Rattus norvegicus: one gene and its partners. The protein of the gene in region 4 interacts with the protein of the main gene of each other region in a pairwise test. Links are inferred from orthologs where the notes say so. Each region holds a gene or a part of one and is shown on either strand. Other genes may lie near its edges.

Region 1 (3,998 bases), on a different chromosome or scaffold from region 4:
CAGAAATGACAGACAGAGGAGTCCATTCCACACTAAAGTAGAACACCAGAAGCCAGAGAAGGGGAAGACAAAGAGGGCTGGCTAGGTGTAGACAAATTGGAAAAGATTGGAACTGGGGACAGGTAGGTGGAAGCAGAGACTCTCTGGGCCCGCCTTATCAGGCTAGGGTACCCGGATTCCGAAGACCAAGAAAAGAGTCCTGGCTTCATCAGCTATTCTCTGTGTGACCCTAGGTAAGTTATTAAACTCTCTGAGCCTTGGTTTCTTATTTATTACAGAGATAATGAGAGCACGGTTGGAGAGTGACTAGAATCTTATGGCCGAGTAAAGAGCAAGTGGTGACCCGCCTTGTGCTTGACTTAAAGCTGAACGGAGCTGGGGAGAAGTTAGAGAGAGTGCCCAGTGAGTGGCTGATTCATTTGGGTAGTGGGTTAAATCCACCAGATTTTCAACCCAGATTCACACACTTCCTGTAGAGGCGGGATCTAAAAGAGCTGGCGAAGGTGTTTGTAAACAATAAAAGTGCAATTCAAAGTTTGCCGCTGGGGGGTGAAATAGTAGGGGTTAGGAAAGAGGCTGGGCAGCTGCGGGCCGAAGCATCGGTTGGTTCGCCTGCAACACGGCCCAAGCTGGGCGGATGTAAAGTGCTTTGCAGTCCTCCCGCCATCTCCAAAAAGCCACAGACCCCTCTTGCAGCCACCACCGGGCGTTCGAGGCTTATCCCTGGAAGTCGTCCCTCGGTGCATGTAAGGATGACGGGTGAGAACCGGGTGCGGACAGTGGTGGGGCGATCTTGGGACCAGTTGGTTAAGACACCCCCAACAGCTAGGACAGCAAGGCAGAAGGCAGGGAATGCCGTACGGCCCCAGAGCCCAGGGTGGCACAAGGGGACAAGGCTGAGGCCAGCCCAGCCGCCGGCCGCAGCGCCGCCTCCCCGGAGGAAGGCGGGGGCTGGGCCAGGAGGCGGGGGGAGGCGGAGAGCGGAGGAGGGCGGCGCGCTGAGAGGTTATTTGTGGTTCGCTTTGATCCCGAGGGGGAACCTGAAACTCTCACATTCCTGGCATAGCAGCCGCCTCCAGCGCGGGCTGACCTAGAGGCTGCGCACTGGGGCGCGAGCAAGCAGATCGTCGGCGCCACCGACGAGTGCGCACCTCCGTTGCCGACCGTACCTAAGCCGAACCCGGTCTGCGTGCGCCGGCAGCCGCGGGCCGCAGCGGTAAGCAAGGCGCCTGGCGCTCCGGGTAGTGCGCGAAGCCTGCGGGGACGCTTCCCAGCGGCACCCGGACACCGCGATCAGCCCGACTCTTTCTGGAGATCGGAGCTGGAGTGGAGGAGCCTCCCCGGGGAGGGGACACTGTGCACCCTTTCGAGGATTGATCCTGGGTGTCTGTCTAGCCTAGGCTGCTCGCGCTTTTGTGGGGGTGAGGACACGATTCTCCGACCCACTGGGGCTGGAGGAAGGACAGAGGATCAGTGTTTGGGAGTGTGCGTCTCGTACGGGGCAAGTGAATAGCTGCTGTAGGCATATCTCGCCGAATACGGGGTCACCGTGATTGCTTTGTCTAGATTGGGGATACAGGTGGCTTTTACCGTCAGCTAGATCAAGAATTCCTCTTTGTCTTCCTTGGAAAATCCTCTCCGGAGCCACGAACTGGCTCTCACTTAGAAAGAATGCAGCCTGCTGTCCAGTCCGGTGACGTCAGCGCTGAAGTATTTGGAAAACAAAGAGGGTTAGGGAGAGAGGCGGACCCGCGATGCTTAAAGACCTCTCGCGGGTGTGGGTTTTGCTTGCCCGGGGCACTCGGGCAACCACCAGTGCTAGTGGTCCACCTCGGTGGAGGTGGGAAACGCGGGAACCCTGGTCTGGCTGACTTAGAGACTAGCGTTGGTTCTTTTTGCTGGAGGGAGCCCGAGCCAAGGCCAGAGAAGCATGTTTGCTTAGAAAGGTAGCTGGTTTTCCGAGTGCAGTGTTCCAGAGCAGCCCAGGTACAACGTCCGAGTAAGGAAGCTGATTTTTAGAAATTGCTCAACCCTAAGAATTTGAAAGATTGTGCATCTAGGGGATTAGATTGGGACGTGTGTGTGATGAGAGGCCTCGGAAATGTTCCGTGCTCCCGGGGAGCCTGGCTCATAGTTGGCGCGCCTGGAATCTGTCGGGAAGGCTTTGCATTCCTTCTAGCCGCTCCCGGATCCTCCTTAGCGGGAGTCAGCCCAGACAGTGATTAACGTAGGAAATGCCGCGTAGAAAAAGCTGCGTGCGAACAGTCTCAAGTCTTACACATTGTAGGGTGCAGCTGGGGTGGGGGTGGGGGTATTAGTTGCCGGCTTGGGTGCCCTCGGGGCTCATTACCAACATACCATTCAGGGCTCTGCCAACACATCATTCCCAAAGTGGGGCTGCACACTGGGGATAGCACGGAAGAGAAAGGGGCCACATCCCCACGAGCCCTTCCTTCGTCTTCCCCCTCACCTCATTACCCCATCAACTGGCATAGGTGGTCGTTACTAATATCAACAGAGATACAGAGGGTCATCCCCTGTGTACCTCTAGGGTACAAGTAGAGGCTTTTCTAAGTTTGTATGTGTGTGTGTGTGAAGAAAGGAGGAGGAGGATCAATATTTTGCTGGCTCAATTACTGCAGTCACACCTCTGCCTCACCAGTTCACATGCAGCTTCTCAGGCTGCTCACCTTGCAGAGTGACTGCGAAGGTCATCTGTGACAAGGATTTATTTTATCTGCAGCCCAGGGTCCGACTCCTGGAAGAGAAGCCAGTGGAGGGTGGTGGACTATGGTGGCTCAAGCCTCCTCATTCGAAACAGTCAATGGAGTCATTTGCTTAGGGCTTCTTTCTACTGGGCTACATTCTGTCTTTGGCCACTCTGCGAGTAAACTGAGGTCCTACTGCTTAAGTGGTTGAATTTGATGGACACCTGTCCTGGGGTCACTCGTGAGAGCGTTTGGGGGTAGTGGCTGATTGTAGGCGAGTGTGATTATTAGATAACCTTCAGGTTTTCTGTTGTATTTCTGTGGTCTCCATACATGTCCTTAGAATGGTAAGCATTTGCCAAGGATTTATAGCATGCCAGGCGTTCTACCTCTTACATTTCAACTCCCAAGAGGCACACACACACACACACACACACACACACACACACACACACACGGCAGACTAAGATCAGAAGCTCAGTAACTAAACTTAATCAATTGATGGCCATATTGGCACTTGGATCTGGGCCTGTGTAAAACCACCCAACTATCTCACCTTCTCCTTCATCCAGAGTGTTTTGGCAAGTGCCCCTCCCTCCTTTGTATGTGCTTCCACTGACTGCTATTCTTTCTGTCTGTTAGGTGCTCTGAGACCAGGTGCCTGCTGGCCATTGTCTAGGCAGGTGTGTGCAAGCCAGAGAAGCATGAGGACACTGGAAGACTCCTCAGGGACAGTCCTGCACCGCCTCATCCAGGAGCAGCTGCGCTACGGCAACCTGACAGAGACTCGCACTCTGTTGGCCATCCAGCAGCAGGCCCTGCGGGGTGGGGCTGGAGCTGGGGGCACAGGGAGCCCCCAGGCCTCCCTGGAGATCGGAGCACCCGAGGACAGTCAGGTGCTACAGCAGGCCACCAGGCAGGAGCCCCAGGGCCAGGAGCATCAGGGTGGAGAGACCCACCTGGCAGAGAACAGGCTGTACCGACTCTGCCCACAGCCCAGCAAGGGAGAAGAGCTGCCCACCTATGAGGAAGCCAAAGCCCATTCGCAGTACTATGCAGCGCAGCAGGCAGGCTCCCGGCTGCATGGTGGGGACCGGGATCCTAGAGGGGCCTCAGGAGGCAGCCGACGTCAGGATGAGGCTCTTCGAGAGTTGAGGCACGGCCATGTGCGCTCCTTGAGTGAACGACTTCTGCAGCTGTCCCTGGAAAGAAATGGTGCCCGGGTCCCCAGCCACATGAGCTCTTCCCACAGTTTCCCTCAGCTGGCCCGCAGCCAGCAAGGTCCCCAGC
Region 2 (4,087 bases), on a different chromosome or scaffold from region 4:
GCGGCTGTCGTGGCTGAATTCATTGCGGGTGAACCGGGACAGCAGATTGGTCTTGCCCACGCCTGACTCGCCGATCAGTACCACTGAGGGAGTGGAGAGAGGAGGGCTGAGCCAGGGCAGAGCAGCTCTGAGCCTACCTGAGCTGGGCAGCCTGTCCCACCAGAAAGAGGAAGTGAGATCAGAAAAGCAAGAAAAGAGTTATCTCTTCTGGCAGAGACTGGGGCTGGCCACACTGCATTGGGCATCTGTCTGAGGGCAGGGAATAGAAAGGCCAGGAGTGTTCCAGACAGGGGCTGCTGAGGCAGCAGGGTAACACAGTTAAGAGCAACGGGTGTGGGCTGCTGGCAGAGGACATGTGGAAAGGTGACTGAGACAGCATGTGAGAAAGGACAAAGGCCGCCGGGAGGGCTGGAGTGCACATTTCTGGACTAGGGAGAATGGAGTATGGGAAGGTTGCAGATGTCTGTATGTGAGTTGGAAGGATGAGGAAAAGGGGCTTGGGTGTGTTGTGTGTCCACATGGAAGACTGAGGCTAAGGTTGGCCAGTGACACTTCTGTAGGTGAGAGGCAGGTGTTGGAGTGCGCCTTCGTGGACGCATGCGCGTTACTGCCTCTCCTTTACTAGGAGAGACATCCCCATTCATCCATCCACAGCCCTGGCCTCAGCCCTGGAGCAAGGTTTTAATGCTAGGCAGGCTTCTGTCCTTACTGGCTTTGTGGCCTTTTAATTTTGTTTTAAGATTTATCTATTTTATGTGTGTGAGCGTTTTGCCTCTATGTATGTTTGTATACCACATGCATCCCTGGTGGAGTGTCAGATCACCCGGAACTGGAGTTAAAGATGGTTGTGACCACCATGTGGGTGCTTACCCACAGAGCCACCTCTCCAGCCCCTTTTGTGACCTCTTTTTGGAGAACTACTTAACTCTTTACATCTTAGTTTCTTCCTCTGTAAAATCCCAGTGGCTAACATTTACAGAGTGCTTCCATCCAAAACACTTCATGTAACCTCACAACAATGCCTGAGGTAAATGCCTTTATTATCTTATTATTATTGTTATTATTATTATTATTATTATTATTATTATTATTATTATTATAAAAAACAGGATTTGGCTGTCCGGGAACTCAGTCTATAGCCCAGGCTAGCCTTGAACTCACAGAGATCTACCTGCTGCCTCCCGAGTGCTGGGATTAAAGGCTTGCACTGCCACTGCCCGGCCACTATTCCCATTTTTATAGACAAGGTACCCACCTAGTAGGTCTCTCACAATGCACTAAACAGATAGATGTGCTGCTCACCTCTACCTTTTAGGAAGGACCTGCTCCACCCCCTCATTGCAGGGGGGGAAGCAGTGGCAGTGACAGCTCACAGGTGAGCCCTCATGGACACGGGATGTCATGCCTCTCTAGACAGGTCCATGTGGTACCCCAGGGACAGTGTTCCAAGGCTACCCCAAAGCTCCCTGTTCTCTGAATAGCTCTGAGCTGTCATGGCAGGTGACTATCCTCTGCCCGATCCTGCTTCCTCCTGTTTATCCTTGCATGTGCCAGCCTGTAATCATTACAGAATACCCCAGACTTCTTGGAAGTAGCACTGGGACTCCATCTGAGCTAACTGGTAAGTGGCAGAGAGACCACACAACCACCTATAGTGATAGCTCACACCAGGGATGAGAAGATGATTGTATGAAAATGGTACCTAGTAGGGCCTCAACAAATGGGAGTCACTACACCTGTGGCCACAGCCCCACGCTTCCTTGGGAAAATGCCAGGAGTACAGGCTCCCCAGCTTGGGCCAGGGTGGGGCTGAGCTTGGGAGAGGCTGTGGGTGTGGTGCAAAGGAAAGGAGAGTGCCACCAGGCCACCTTGCCTTCAAGGAGGGCTAGAGAACCACAGAGGGACCAAATATCAGGAGTTGGGGGGTGAGGGGAGCAGGAGGGAAGCATGTGCACCTTCAGAGACAGCCCAGTGAACCCAGTGCCTAATATCTGGGTCCAAAGACAGTGCAAGAGGCCATGCAGCCCAGGATTCCTGTGGAATCCATTAGACTGTTCCAAATTCAATGCATTGCTCCAGTGTATCAACTACCTATGAGTCAACTCCCCTATGTGTTAACTACCTAGATAACAATGGCTACCACTCTCCCTCCCCTCTTTCCTATGCATCTGCTGGGAAAGATGACTTTCTTCCACTTAAATTGGTTTGCTTCTTCCTCTTCCCTGCAAGTCCTTTTCTGAAGTCTGACCTCTCTCTCTTGGGCATCACTGACATTCCCAGGGATTCCAGCATCTATTAGAGACTGGGCAGGGAAGCCTAGTTTGGCAATAGGAAGGAATTACCAGCACCTTTAGAGAGCATACGATTTCAGAACATCTGTACTTGTAACCAGACCTGCCTAACTGCTCATGGCCTTTCTCTCCTAAAGGACATGCTGAGCTTGGAGATGGGGGGGGGGGGGGGGCGCGGGGAATTCCAAGTGAGAGATAAAAATCAAAAGACCCTGTCTCCTCTGGAAAGAGCCTCTCTCCCACCCTCTCTGGATTCTCCCTTTTCAAGAGCCCCAACTTACCCTTAAAGACAAAATTATAATCTTCATCTGTTCGATTCCCCATCTTGGCTCAGCATGGAGAGTGAGGGCGTTTGCAGGAACAGAGGTCACAAGTCTGTTTATAGGTTAAATGGCCTCCACTCTCAGCTCTTGAAAGACCTGCACCTGGCTCCTCTCTCATTAGGGTAAAGGACAAGAGGCTGAGTTGAGGCCAGGAAGAGCCCTGGAGGCTCAGCTCTGGCACTTTAGGCTACTCTGTGGGAGCTGAGAGGACGGAAGCTGAGAACAGGAAGAGCTAGCTAGCTCCGCTGGGCACCTGGGGCACAGGTGGGTGGAGCGATGATGACGTCAGACAGGTTAAACTGGTTAGGTGTCTGCTTTTGGCCCACACTCTCCCAAATAAGAGGGCCTGCTCATAGAGCTAACAGTGGGTGAGGCTGCGGGTGAGCCCGAGTGGGTTTCTGGGGTTCTAAGAAGGGGAGCCGCTACTGGGTTGAGAAAAATAGACACGGGGGTGGGGCAGAAACCTACCGGCCTCCGGCTTTCCCATCTCAGGTTTTAATAAGGACACATACCAGGGTAGGGGGCATCAGGGGAAGGGCTATTAGAGAAAGAAATGCAAGCTGGGTATAGCATCTCTGTACGATACTGAACTTTGGGAGATGTACCAGCATGCAGGCAGCTTCAGGCCCCTCCTTACCAGCTCCAGGCCAGGGAAGGGCAGCATTTCTCACTCAGGTGAAGCTGGAACACCACCTGGTCAGATGGGTCCCTTCCTAACATACAATAATCAGATTTACTCTCTTCATGGATGGATCTCAGCGAGAAGAGCAGAAAGAGCTGGATGTGGTGAATATGGGTGCAGCATCTGAAGATGAAGACCTTGAGGCCTTCTGAGGTCAGTCTTCCGATTGTCACGCTTGTACTGTGGGGCACACTACCCACACATCGGGTACACACATGCAATAAATAAGTAAAGGTAATGGAGAAGAATCTGCATGTCCACACACAATTTTTCTTTTTAACTAAAACAAATGCTGCAGATAGGGTCTGGTAGGCTCATGAAAGTGTAGGAAAGGGAGTTGGGGGCACTCCTAAAACTAGAAAATGGTGAACTCTAAGGGGTTGGGGATTTAGCTTAGTGGTAGAGCACTTGCCTAGCAAGCACAGGACCCTGGGTTCAGTCCTAGGCTCTGGAAAAAAAAAAAGACAAAATAACAAAAAGAGAGTTCAAGGACAGCTAGGGCTATGTAAGAGACCCTCTCTCTCTCTCTCTCTCTCTCTCTCTCTCTCTCTCTCTCTCACACACACACACACACACACACACACACAAGAAAAAAGTTTTTAAAAAAGGGGGGGGGGTTAGGGATTTAGCTCAGTGGTAGAGCGCTTGCCTAGCAAGCACAAGGCCCTGGGTCCGGTCCCCAGCTCCGAAAAAAAAAAAAAAAAAAATGGTGAACTCTAGGGACCTGTATTTTCTGTGAAGAACAGGCCTTTGCTCCTCTAGATCAATCCCAGGTACTGCAAATGGGTGGG
Region 3 (3,572 bases), on a different chromosome or scaffold from region 4:
CAGTGGTAGAGCGCTTGCCTAGCAAGCGCAAGGCCCTGGGTTCGGTCCCCAGCTCCGAAAAAAAGAAAAAAAAAAAAAAAAAAAAAAAAAGAGAGAGATCAAGAAAGTACCAATTTCCTTTGAAACAACAGAGACAGACTTTATTGTCATTTCTTATTAAATAGTCTCTTTTGCTCCTTGTAAAAATTTCTAAAACCAAAGATATACTATTTTATAAAGTTAAATTTCTCAAGAATTCCAAAATTTGCCCTTTGACGCCCTCTATGGGGTGGGATGGGGGGCTCAATGTTGTTGGTTTCTCTCTATATATGTAAAGAAATGTATTCAAAAGTAACACAAATTCTTACCAGGCTGTCTGTCTGGATCAGTTACATCTAGTATATCTGCTTCAATGCTGTCATCTTCTGGTAAAGGTCTAGAAGACATAGATAAGCTCTTTATTCCAGAAATTAAAAATAACTCTTTTGAAGCTCAAAGATCCATTAAAATGTCACAATTATAAGGACTAAAGCTATGTTTCAAAAGTTCTACAAACCAGTGTGTGTGTGTGTGTGTGTGTGTGTGTGTGTGTGTGTGTGTGTGTGTGTGTGTTGCAGTCAGAGAAAATCTCAGATGTTCCTCGGGGCTGTCCACCATTTGAGACAGCATTTGTCACCAGCCTGGGACTAATTACATGGCCCAGGCAGGTAGGCCTGGGGATCTGGTCTCCATCTCCACAGTGCTGGGGTTACAAGTGGATCCTACCAGCTTGGCACTCCATTCACTTTTCAGAGAGCTGATAGCCCATTCCTCCAAAAACCTAAGACTTTAGCTTAAAGCACAAAAACCTAAAACCTGAAGCTGAAATGATTCAAATAAATGTGAAAAGATAAGTCAGTCACATATTTGGTAGAAAATAACTTTCATCTCCTAGTATCCAGTGATCACTGTAACCTTCTCTTTAAAGAAGCCCAGCATTCATGAGCTGACATTTCATTAAAGGAATCCTGATGCTTTGGTCCAAATCTGTTTAATAAAAAGTACCGCTCACATTGGGAAGTCTTCATCCTGCCATTCTTCTTTCAGTTCCACACCTTCCATCCTCAGCCTAGACTCAATGTCAACTTCCAGCTCCTGGCAATCCAGGCAGCCGAGGTCCTGGGGGAGAAAGATGAGCAACAGCTTCATTTCCACCTCTGCCCTTCATCTGCTGCAAAGGTGCAGCAGTCTCCCCTCCAGCTCGCATCTCCATGCCAGCAGCCACAGAGGCTTTAGCTCAGTGGTCTGGTTATGAGACTTGACCTACTGCAGATAGACAAATGGCGTCTCTACTATAGAATAACAAATTGGCTGTCTGCCCTCTGCACAGGGTGGATCCTGAAGCACAGGAGTGCGTTCCATGTACAGACACAGCCACCGGAGCCCAGCGCTCTGCAGTGTTTACGGCTCCTTCTCACCACTGCTAGCCACTTAGTCTACTCAGTGTGTGGAGCCTGTCCAGCAGCAGACTGTACTGGTTGATGATGTGCTTCCCATTTGTGCCACGCCCTTCTCATAACTCGGTGTCCCATCTACTGATGCTGTCTGTCACATGTGCAACTATCTATTTTAATTCATGCCCTAAACGCTAATCTTGTTTTTTTCTGCACCAACTCACTTTCTGTCTGACAGAATAATTCAGCTGAAGTACAGTATAAGTCATGAAGAGAGGCAAGAGAGATGGCTCAGGGGTCAGTTCCCAGCACCCTCATGACACTTGAGACCCCAGTTTCAGGGGTGCTACATACCCTCTTTGACCTTCGAGAGTATGGCATGCATGTGGCACACAAACATGTTGACAAATCACTCACACATAAAATAAAAAACAAACAAATCTTTAAAAAGTCATGACTATCAGTTGGTAAGAAGTTCAACAGAAGCAGGTGGCAGATCACTGACACGGAGGCACTCTGAGTGTTAACTCGTTTACATCAGAGTAACACAGAGCAAGTTCCTACAGACAGCATTGACACAGTTCTCAATCTCTCAGACACATCCTTGCCCTTCAGTTTAGACTGTCTTCAAACTTGTGACCTTTCTGTTCCAATCTCCTGAGTTCTGGGACTACAGGTATTGGCCAGGATGCTACCTTTGAATTTTTCTTAAGAGCCATACATCATAACTGGAGCTACAAAAATAAATATAAACAAAAACAAAGTAGTAGTTCCGAGTGGCTGACACAGAGAAAGGGCAGCATGCCCAAGCAGCGCACCCACGTCCTTCTCTAATACCCGATTTTAAAAAACCATGTACCAAACAAAACGAAACACCACCCAAAACCTTTCTAATAGACGAGAGCTATTCACATTCATATCAAATGATATTCTAAAAACAAACTAAAGGAAATTAAATGCTTGAATTGTTAAGTTTCATACAGCAAACTAAATTCATTCCTCAATGAATGACTAGAGTCTCTGCCTCCCAGGTTGAGTATTTACTTATACTTGGGAAAGTCTCAAAGGGCTTACAATTTTACAAACCTTTTTATTAGTACTGGGAAGAAAAGATAACGTGCTGACGTTCTGTTACTGAACTACGTGCGGGTAAATAACCACAACAGTTCCCTCGGTCTTGTCCTGCCTTTCTCCTGGGTACTGGGGGTGGGGTGGGGAGAAGCAGAATATTCTGGGCATCTTTTTTAAATAACCAGAAAAAAAAAAATCTCAGAAGTAACAGCAGGAACTGGCAGTTGTAATCAATACATTAACATCAGCACAATGCTCAGCACGTTACGGGGCTTCACAGTGGCGGTGCACCAGAACTGGGCCAGGCCTTGGTCAACCCTTAAGTTTCTTTTGCTTTCTGAATTATATAAATAGTTATTATGAGTTTCCCTTAAAAATGTTATGAAAATACTTTTTGGGAACATAAATATATACAATGTAAATTACTGTTGGTAAAGTTGTTCTTTATTTCTCTTATTTCTCTTAGCATTTATTACTTTCTTAGTTGAAAACTAACTCCTTCAAAACTGCCATGAAGGCTCAGGTTTGTAATCCTAGTACTTTGAGGCCTACAAGAGGATTACTGTTGAGATTGAGACTAGCCTGGGATATCTATGTAGCTAGACCCTTGTCTTAACACGACTAAAACCAAACAACAAAAAGGGGGCTCCTTATATACAGGGTTGTAATCCCAGCTCCCTCAGAGGCTGAGGCAGGAAGACTGCAAGTTCAAGGCTACCCTGAGCCTTTATGTAAGACCCTGTTACAAAGTAAACCTGGAGAGCGGTGCTGGTGCTCAGACACTGCTCAGCGCCTGGGGCCCTGGGTTCCATTCTCCACAGCACAGGCAAACATGGAAGCCCAACTCCTTGAGCCCTTGCAGCCAACTTCCTCAATTTTACTAATGTTCTCAGTCATGTGCTGGTCACACACATTATCATGGATTTTTAGTTATGGGGAGGGACGATTATCAGGCTAGTTTAACAAAGAAGGAACAGAGAGAAATAGACTAACTCCACAATTTCACCAAGAACGACGGGGGTAGCAGACTAGGTAGATGAAAACAAAGCCAACAATCGAGTTCTGTTCTTGGAAGCACTTTATCACCAG
Region 4 (3,572 bases):
CTCAGGAAACATGCATGTGTGCAAGGACCACTTGTTCTTTCGTTCCTCTGTGAACTCTGTGGTTAGGTGGTCACCTTCTGAGGATGCCCTTTCCAAAAGCTGAGGTCTTATTGAGATCTTAGGAGGTTAAAACTTATCTTCCTGCATGTGTCTATTGCCATCTGCTTCTTGTTCTAGACAATTCCACTGTTGAGACAATGGTGTTGTAGGCTCTGACCTCAGCTGCATTGGTCCGTGTGGAGAGAGACCCTTGGAACCCGATTGGGTCTCCTAATCTCTGACAAAATACAAGATATTTTTGTGACATCTCAGGATTTGACATTCCTCTTTACCCGTACGAGTAACTCCCTCCCAACATGCATATTCGACATCCGAGAGTTAGTTGCATAGAAACCAGGAAAGGAATCTGAGTGGGAACTGAAATAGAAATCTATAAATTCCACCAAGCTCGGTTTTCACTCTTAAAAGACAAACCAGCTGCCAAAAACATAAGCCAAAAGGTCTTTTTAAATGAATAGCACGGGAGGTAGGCTCTATTCCTAATTACTCTCGTTTTCATGAGCAGAACCGGGGTGGAAGGAGAGGCCGTGTGGGAAAGGGTTGCAGAAAGGGTTCCTTTCAAGAACGTGGAGAAGGGTGCACTGTGCAATCCGAGGGCACGGCTCGAGTAAAAGGCTGTTCTCTCCTCGCTTTCTGGGTGCTGTGGGTTATAAAACACCGGTAGAGTATTTGCCTGGCATTCATGGGAATAACTATTTATCCACTGTTCCAAGGAGCGCTACTGCCCACAGTTGTTGACGAGAGGCAGTGGCTGATGTCCGGGGCTCCTTGAGAAGTTACTTCACATTAATATGAACTGGTTACGAGTTGTCACGTTTTTTTTTTTTCCTCCTTCAGCAGCAAACTCCAGGCCACAGGAAGAACCCATCAAATCAAAGTAGCTTAGAATCTGACTCCAATTACCCCTCCATTTCCACCTCAGAAATCGGAGACACCGAGGATGCCCTACAGCAGGTGGAGGTAAGTCTGGGACAACTGTTTGCAGTTGTCCTGTTGAGGACACTTAATTGCCTGCATGGAACCACCCAAGAGAGATATGAGATATACTGCTCTGTTGGTGGTGCCTCAGAGGGCCCAGGGCACGGACGTTGAGAACAGGATCACTGGGTTGCAGCGAATTTACTGATATATGGCGTCACATCCGTGTGCATGCCGTTTCCATGTAGATATGGGCACGGTCATCCTCACGGCTCTGCGGCTCACAGGCAGTGAGACTGACCCTGAGTTGTGCTCATTACATGAGGTGGGACATCACCATGCTTCCGACATGCAAAAACAGACTGATGTGCACTCAGACGCATTGCCTACCGACAGGCAAGCACATGCTTGTCTACATACTTAGCCACATAGTAAAATCCAGACCCGGATCTGAAAGGATAGGAATGCACTGGGAGATCAATGTATCAAGATCTGTTGGAGCAGCGCGCTCCACGGCAGGGCAAGTATTGCTTGTTTCAAGTTACGATCGGGTACTCGTTGGCATCACGACAGTGACCGGAGGTCACAGTGATCCCCCATCAGGAAGCACTGTGTCCCAAGATTTAGTTTCCCTCTTGTAATGCCATTTTCCAGAAGTGAATTCCCTTTTACCTTCCAAAGAAAATGCCTGTGCCTGTTTTCAGTTGTTCCTTAGAGTATGCGATTGGTCACTTAAGTGGCTCTCACAGGAGGAATGTGAACGGCTGAGACACAGATGTTATTGAAGAGAATAAGCCAGCAGCACCAGCTTTCTGATGGGAAATACTAGTGGTTTGACACTGGCTTTGTGTTGGAGGCAAGGATTGGTACTGGGGAGGAGCAAGGAGACAGATGACTGATACAGGGGTGGGCAGCCAGGCATTGTTCCCAGGAGCATTTGTGCTGTGAAAACTACCTTCTGGATACCCCTCTCCGTTTGCAGGAGATTGGTATAGAGAAGGCAGCCATGGACATGACTGTCTTCTTGAAGCTGCAGAAGAGAGTGCGGGAACTTGAGCAGGAGAGGAAGAAGCTGCAGGTGCAGCTAGAAAAGGAACAACAGGACAGCAAGAAAGTGCAGGTGCGTAGCCGCTCTGTTGTGAGCCCATGGGGTCTCAGTGGTGTTGGGCTTCAGAGCTTCCTCTTGTGGGAACCAAATTGATCACTCTCTGTGAATGTCTCACCCCACTGCCTCTGAGCTGGGTGTGCTCCCTGAGTATCCCAGGGCAAAGGATTTCCACTGGGAAGCAGTAGGGAGTCTGGGAGCTCATGCCTGGAGGACTGGCATCAGGTGCAGAGAAAATAAAACAGCAGAAGTCAGAATCAGCAGAGAAAGTCTACCACCCTCTCGTGCCTGGAATCTAACACAAGCTCAGCCACCTGGCTGAGAGCCAGAGGAGACCCTTCTCACCTACGGCTGTGCCTTTGTGTCACCACAACTGATGACATCCCTATCCTCTTGCATCTTGAAAGGATACTGTGTGAAACTTTACATCTAAAAGTAATTTATTTGTCTCAAGGACTTTTGGGGAACCTAAGCTATAAACACAGAACTATGCCAGTATCAGGCTCGAAGCAAATACACAACGTGGGCGTGCAAAAGAGAAAACAGAGCCAGCAAGATGCCTCTCAGGATCATGAAGACCCTCGCTGTCAAGCCTGCTGGCCTGAGTTAGATCCAAGGGACACACATGATGGGAGGAGAGAACTGATGCCTGCAAGAAGCTGTCCTCTGGTTTTCACAGATACCATGGCATAGGCAAGCCATGACAGACACACATATGCCTGTGTGTGCGCACACACACACACACATACACACACACACAGACACACACACACAGTCGCTATGCATAGTTTCTTTTTTTAAGACCGGTAAAAATGCAGGAGACAAACTTAGCCATTGGGGAATTTAAATCAGGTTTGGGAGTAGGAAATGTAGCTCAGGTGTAAAATAAAAAAAGAAGGTTGTAGTGTGACTGGGAATGCCGTTGATTACAAACCTATCAGTACTGCCACAGCAGAGAGCTGTCAGAGATAAGAACCCCTTTTTCTCACCGTGAAGTTGTGAGGAGAACTTCTCGTGGGATTTAAGTCCAGCTCTGCGCCATACCACTAGCAAAATCTATTCTCATGCCTAAACTGAAAATTGTGGGATTTGACTCTCCTCGTCTTCCTCCCCCTCCCTCTCCCCCTCCCTCCCTCTCCTCCTCCCCCTCCCCCTCCATCCTTGACCCCCATCCTGGACCCAGACTCTTTTTTCATAACACCTTTCTTTCCTTTCCATTCTGACGTGGTATAATATGTATACAAGTACACTATTACTTCACACACACCAGAAAAGGGCAACAGGGGCACCTCTGAAAGAGCGAGTCAGTGCTCTTAACTGCTGAGCCCTCATTTTGTTTGGTTTTTAAGATTCATTTTTATTGGGCTGGAGAGGTGGCTCAGTAGTTAAGAGCACTGACTCTTCTTCCAGAGGTCCTGAGTTCAAATCCCAGCAACCACATGGTGGCTCACAACCATCTGTAATGGGATCTGATGCCCTCTTCTAGTGT
Region 5 (4,147 bases), on a different chromosome or scaffold from region 4:
GGTGACAAAGAGAGCCACATAGTGACAAAAGCAGCCTGTCAATACTTGTAGTGCAAACGTAGATTTTTTTTTCTTGAGACAAGGTTTTGCTATGTAGCTTAGGCTGGCCTTGAATTTATCTTCTTACCACTGAATTAAGACGCCTCTCCAAGGCTGACCAGGTTACCACCATTGTTATAATGGCTGACCTGGAGCATCTAAAGGCTGTGAGTCTCAAAAGGGATTGGCAGGTGCAGTGTACTCACATTATTCGCCACATGCAGGCAAAATGATGTGATTGGTGATAACAATCTGCCTGGCTTCCCTTTTTATTTCATAGCACTCCTTTATCTAATTTAATGGTTTAAAGTCTGAATGAAAAGGACAAATGTTAACGCTCAGGTGAGATGCCAGGAATGGAGAGGAGACCTAGGGTGAGCACTGGCAGAATGTTCACCTTGGGGGTTAGGCAGCTACTATGACTTACTGAAGAAGGTACCTGCCAGACCAGGAAAGGAGGACAGTAGGAGAGGGTAGTGGGGGCAGGTGGCTACTCTCCTTCTACCAATACCAACCCCCCAACCCCGTTGCCAGCTGCTGCAGGAGCTGATTGGTGCTTCCAGGAAGTGAGCTCTGGAGACAAGTACCAGGAATGGCAATGGAGTTCCATTGCCCCTGACCTAGTAACTGCACTTCTGGGAATGCACATCAAGGAAACAGCCCACAGGGCAAAGAGAGGACTCGGGCACACATTCAATGCCAGGCTATTTATAACAGTGAAAAGGCTGAAAACAAGCAGGGAATGACCACAGATGCCTGGATGTGATGACTTGAAGGGAAAAGATCCCCCTGCCCTGCCTGGAAGCTTCCTCCGGGTGGTCTGAGTGGGGACAGGCCCCGGACACAGCAGGACTTGAATCTTTTCTGTCACCAGAGAGCCTTCCAAATCATACTCTGCCTCTGAAGTGATACCTGGACTCTAACACCTGTAATTAGTCTCACACCTGGATATAGCCCACGCCTAGCCCATAGTGCTGTGTGGTACCCGTATCTTTGCAGAAGTCTGTCTCTGTCTCTGTCTTATGAGCCTTTTGCCACAAGGATATCCCAACTACCTCCACAACCCTGAGGGCAAAGGTATGTCCCTGGAGGATCCAGAAGTTATCTCTCAAAATCCATCACTGTCAATCAGGGAGTCTAGGACCCAAAAGCCCAGCTTGGCATAGAAGGTGTCACAATGCCAGATCCTTAAAATATGCTCACCAGAAGAATGGGGAACCCCAATGACACGGACAGAAGCTTACAAAGTAGGGAAGCTCTTCCTGAGTTAGATATGTATGTGTTGAAGGGAGGTATAATACCTGTCTTTTCCATATCTAAGCTGCAATCCTTGTCCCTAAACTTATACTCTAAGTGGCAAAACCTGTCCTGGGCTCAATCCTGCTCCACCCTTAGGAACCTGATTCTCTGAACTTCAGTTTTTCCCTTTTGTTCTGAGGACAGACTATGGCTGTGTAACATAAGTTAGCTTTTAAAAAATTAAAAAAACAAAAACAAAAACATCCAAATTCTGTTGACTTGCCACTCCTGTCTCGCCCCTTTATGTGTACCAGGTTTGCCTTGAACTCACAGATCTCTGTCTCTCTCTTGCTTCCTGAGTGTTGGGATTAAAGGTGTGTGCCACCACATTCTGCTAAATTACACTATTTTTTTCTGTGTATCTATCTATGTGGGCTCATATGAAGGGCAGAAGACAATTTGCTGACTTTTGTCCACCATGGAGGCTCCAAGATTGAACTCAGGTCATCAGGCTTGGCAGTGCACACCAATACCTAAGCTCCCTCACCAGCCCAGGTTGGCTTTGAACTGGAAAGAGATCCTCCTACCCCCAACTCTGAGTACTGGGATTCCAGGTGTGCACCACTATAGGCCTGTTTCCTGGACAAAGTGGACTGTATAAACTCAAAGAGGATTAAAAGGGACCATTGTTGTAAAGTCTCAGAATAGTGCAAGTACTGCATTTGATCTCATCCATGTTCTTTTTTTCTTTGAAAAAGGGTTCCAGTAATCCAGCCTGGCCTCTGCACTTTTGCTCTTCCTACCTCTGCCTCCCAAGTGTTGAGACTACAGGTCTGCACCATCACCAATGTTTATGCAGTGTTGGGGATAAAACCCAGGGCTTTGAGCATGCTTCTGATAAGCATGCTACTAACTGAATCACATTTCCGTCAATTACCAAGAGTTTGAACTAGTGATGAACAGACAGGCCTCAATATACCCAATTCCAAAGCACCACAATTTAGGGATACTGCACCTCATGACCCAGCCTCCACTCCAAGGTAGGCCCCGCCTGTAACAAGTCAGCCCTAGAAGGCTCAAACCAATCAGGCTTAGTGGGCACGCCCACAACCTTCTCCATCGCCCTACCACCACCTATAATCCCGCTTTCAACGTAGTCCGCCCGCCAAACCCAAGAAAGCCCCGCCCCTCAGGACGCCCCGCCCCAACGGCCTCTTCGACCACTTCGGGCCCCACCCCCTCAAGGCCCCGGCCCCGCCCCGGCGCATCCGGGGTCCATAGGCCTCTCCGAGTCTCCCTCATCTCACCGCTGCGCACTAAGGCCCAAAACCTAGCAAGCTCCACTTGCCACGGCTTCCTCAGACTCCCTACCCCGGATAGGCCCCGCTGAAGCCCCGGGCTCCACCTTGAACCCTCTGGTCCTGTATCACGGCTTCGGCCCTCCAGTCGCTACTGCGACCTTGCCTATTTGTACCCCACCGGGCGCACCTTTGAATAGGTAATCGTACTCGTCGTCCCGGGTCCCCATTGTCCTGGCGCTTCCGGCGGGATCGGCGACTCCGCAGCCCCACCACAAACACCCGACGGGGGCGGTACCGGCGCCGCGCAGAGCGGCGGTCTGGTGGCCAGTCAACGGTGAAAGCGGTAGTGACAGGCACCTGAACAAGCCAATCAAACTTAGGAGGCGAGCTCAGGGGGTGGGATCGTCCTGGGATCCACCCTTCTAGTCCTAGGTCTCCTGGAGAAAGGCGGAAGGAATGCGGACCTTTTCGAAGTGACAGATTCAGCAGCCTATCAAAAGCAGATGGAGAAAGGAGGGGCGGAAGACTTGAACAATGAAGCGGATTGACAGAGTATGTAACCAATGAGAGACTGGACTGAGACTCGGCCTTCCAGTGGACCTGTATCGAGCTACCTCTAGGTGAAGTTACGGACTCTAACGTCCTGGTGACATCATAGAACAGTGGGTTTCCTCTGGCCTCTTAGTCTAGCCCCATAAATGACCATTTCCGGGTGTATGTACGTGGATTGGGGTGCCTTCTCTGAGTTGCACTTCCCCAGTTATTTGTTTAAACCTAAAGCTTATGCCAGTACCTCCAAAACAAATGGGGTTCCTAGGCTTTTTTCATTTGTTCTTCTCAAAAAGTTCTATTGTTTTCTGCTTTCACCATTACTCATATTTTTTTATTTTCTAAGACAGATTTTCACTATGAAACCCTAGCTAGACTGGAATTGGTGATATGGCTCAGACCATACCTGTCTGGCTTTCTTTTCCCTTTTTTTCTTTCTTGTTTTTTCGTAACAGGGTCACACCATGTAGCCCTGGCTGTCCGGAACTTGCTCTGTAGACCAGGCTGGCCTCGAACTCACAAAGAGCCGCCTATCTCAGCCTCCCAAGTGCTGGGATTAGAGGCACTTGCTACCACCACCCGGCTTGATATTTTGTTTTGTTTTTTGAGACAAGGACTTATGTTACCCTGGCTAGCTTCAAGTTGAAAAGGGAGTAGCCCCTTTCCTCAGCTGCCGCCAAGGTGCTCGGTCCTTCTGAGGAAGCTAAGGCTGCATTGTGGTGAGGCCCTCACTTCATCCAGCGACTAGCTCCGTGCGGGCAGTCCACAACATGGCTTCTGTCTCCGAGCTCACCTGCATCTACTCCGACCTTATCTTGCACGATGAGGTGATGGTCACAGAGGATAAGATCAATGCCCTGATTAAAGCAGCTGGTGTCAATGTTGAACTTTTCTGGCCTGGCTTGTTTGCAAAGGCTCTGGCCAATGTCAACATTGGGAGCCTCATCTGCAATGTAGGGGCTGGTGGGCCAGCTCCAGCAGCTGGAGCTGCGCCTGCTGGTGGTCCTGCTCCATCCACC

What was found.
Region 1: the proteins of Myo5b (region 4) and Amotl2 interact in binary tests that used the Homo sapiens proteins (3 or more experiments, as listed by UniProt). The two-hybrid records come from large-scale screens. The link is inferred for Rattus norvegicus from reciprocal best matches to the Homo sapiens genes MYO5B and AMOTL2.
Region 2: the proteins of Myo5b (region 4) and Rab25 interact in binary tests that used the Homo sapiens proteins (3 or more experiments, as listed by UniProt). The link is inferred for Rattus norvegicus from reciprocal best matches to the Homo sapiens genes MYO5B and RAB25.
Region 3: the proteins of Myo5b (region 4) and Bnip2 interact in binary tests that used the Homo sapiens proteins (3 or more experiments, as listed by UniProt). The two-hybrid records come from large-scale screens. The link is inferred for Rattus norvegicus from reciprocal best matches to the Homo sapiens genes MYO5B and BNIP2.
Region 5: the proteins of Myo5b (region 4) and Rab11b interact in binary tests that used the Homo sapiens proteins (3 or more experiments, as listed by UniProt). The link is inferred for Rattus norvegicus from reciprocal best matches to the Homo sapiens genes MYO5B and RAB11B.

What each region holds. Positions count from the first base shown.
Region 1 is NC_086026.1:112,181,498-112,185,495, forward strand, and holds the start of Amotl2 (angiomotin-like protein 2), read left to right. Parts: upstream 1-1,128; 5' UTR 1,129-1,216; intron 1,217-1,325; exon of another isoform or gene 1,326-1,986; intron 1,987-3,350; coding exon of another isoform or gene 3,351-3,412; coding exon 3,413-3,998. UniProt on the Homo sapiens protein: Regulates the translocation of phosphorylated SRC to peripheral cell-matrix adhesion sites. Required for proper architecture of actin filaments.
Region 2 is NC_086020.1:176,301,380-176,305,466, forward strand, and holds the start of Rab25 (ras-related protein Rab-25), read right to left. Parts: upstream 2,843-4,087; 5' UTR 2,616-2,842; coding exon 2,573-2,615; intron 84-2,572; coding exon 1-83. UniProt on the Homo sapiens protein: The small GTPases Rab are key regulators of intracellular membrane trafficking, from the formation of transport vesicles to their fusion with membranes.
Region 3 is NC_086026.1:79,524,349-79,527,920, reverse strand, and holds part of Bnip2 (BCL2/adenovirus E1B 19 kDa protein-interacting protein 2), read right to left. Parts: intron 1,138-3,572; 5' UTR 1,081-1,137; coding exon 1,031-1,080; intron 416-1,030; coding exon 348-415; intron 1-347.
Region 4 is NC_086036.1:70,572,453-70,576,024, forward strand, and holds part of Myo5b (unconventional myosin-Vb), read left to right. Parts: intron 1-897; coding exon 898-1,020; intron 1,021-1,960; coding exon 1,961-2,098; intron 2,099-3,572. UniProt on the Homo sapiens protein: May be involved in vesicular trafficking via its association with the CART complex. The CART complex is necessary for efficient transferrin receptor recycling but not for EGFR degradation.
Region 5 is NC_086025.1:15,233,899-15,238,045, forward strand, and holds the start of Rab11b (ras-related protein Rab-11B), read right to left. Parts: upstream 2,857-4,147; 5' UTR 2,807-2,856; coding exon 2,767-2,806; intron 1-2,766. Other genes in the region: Rplp1l1 (large ribosomal subunit protein P1-like), read left to right, coding at 3,899-4,147. UniProt on the Homo sapiens protein: The small GTPases Rab are key regulators of intracellular membrane trafficking, from the formation of transport vesicles to their fusion with membranes.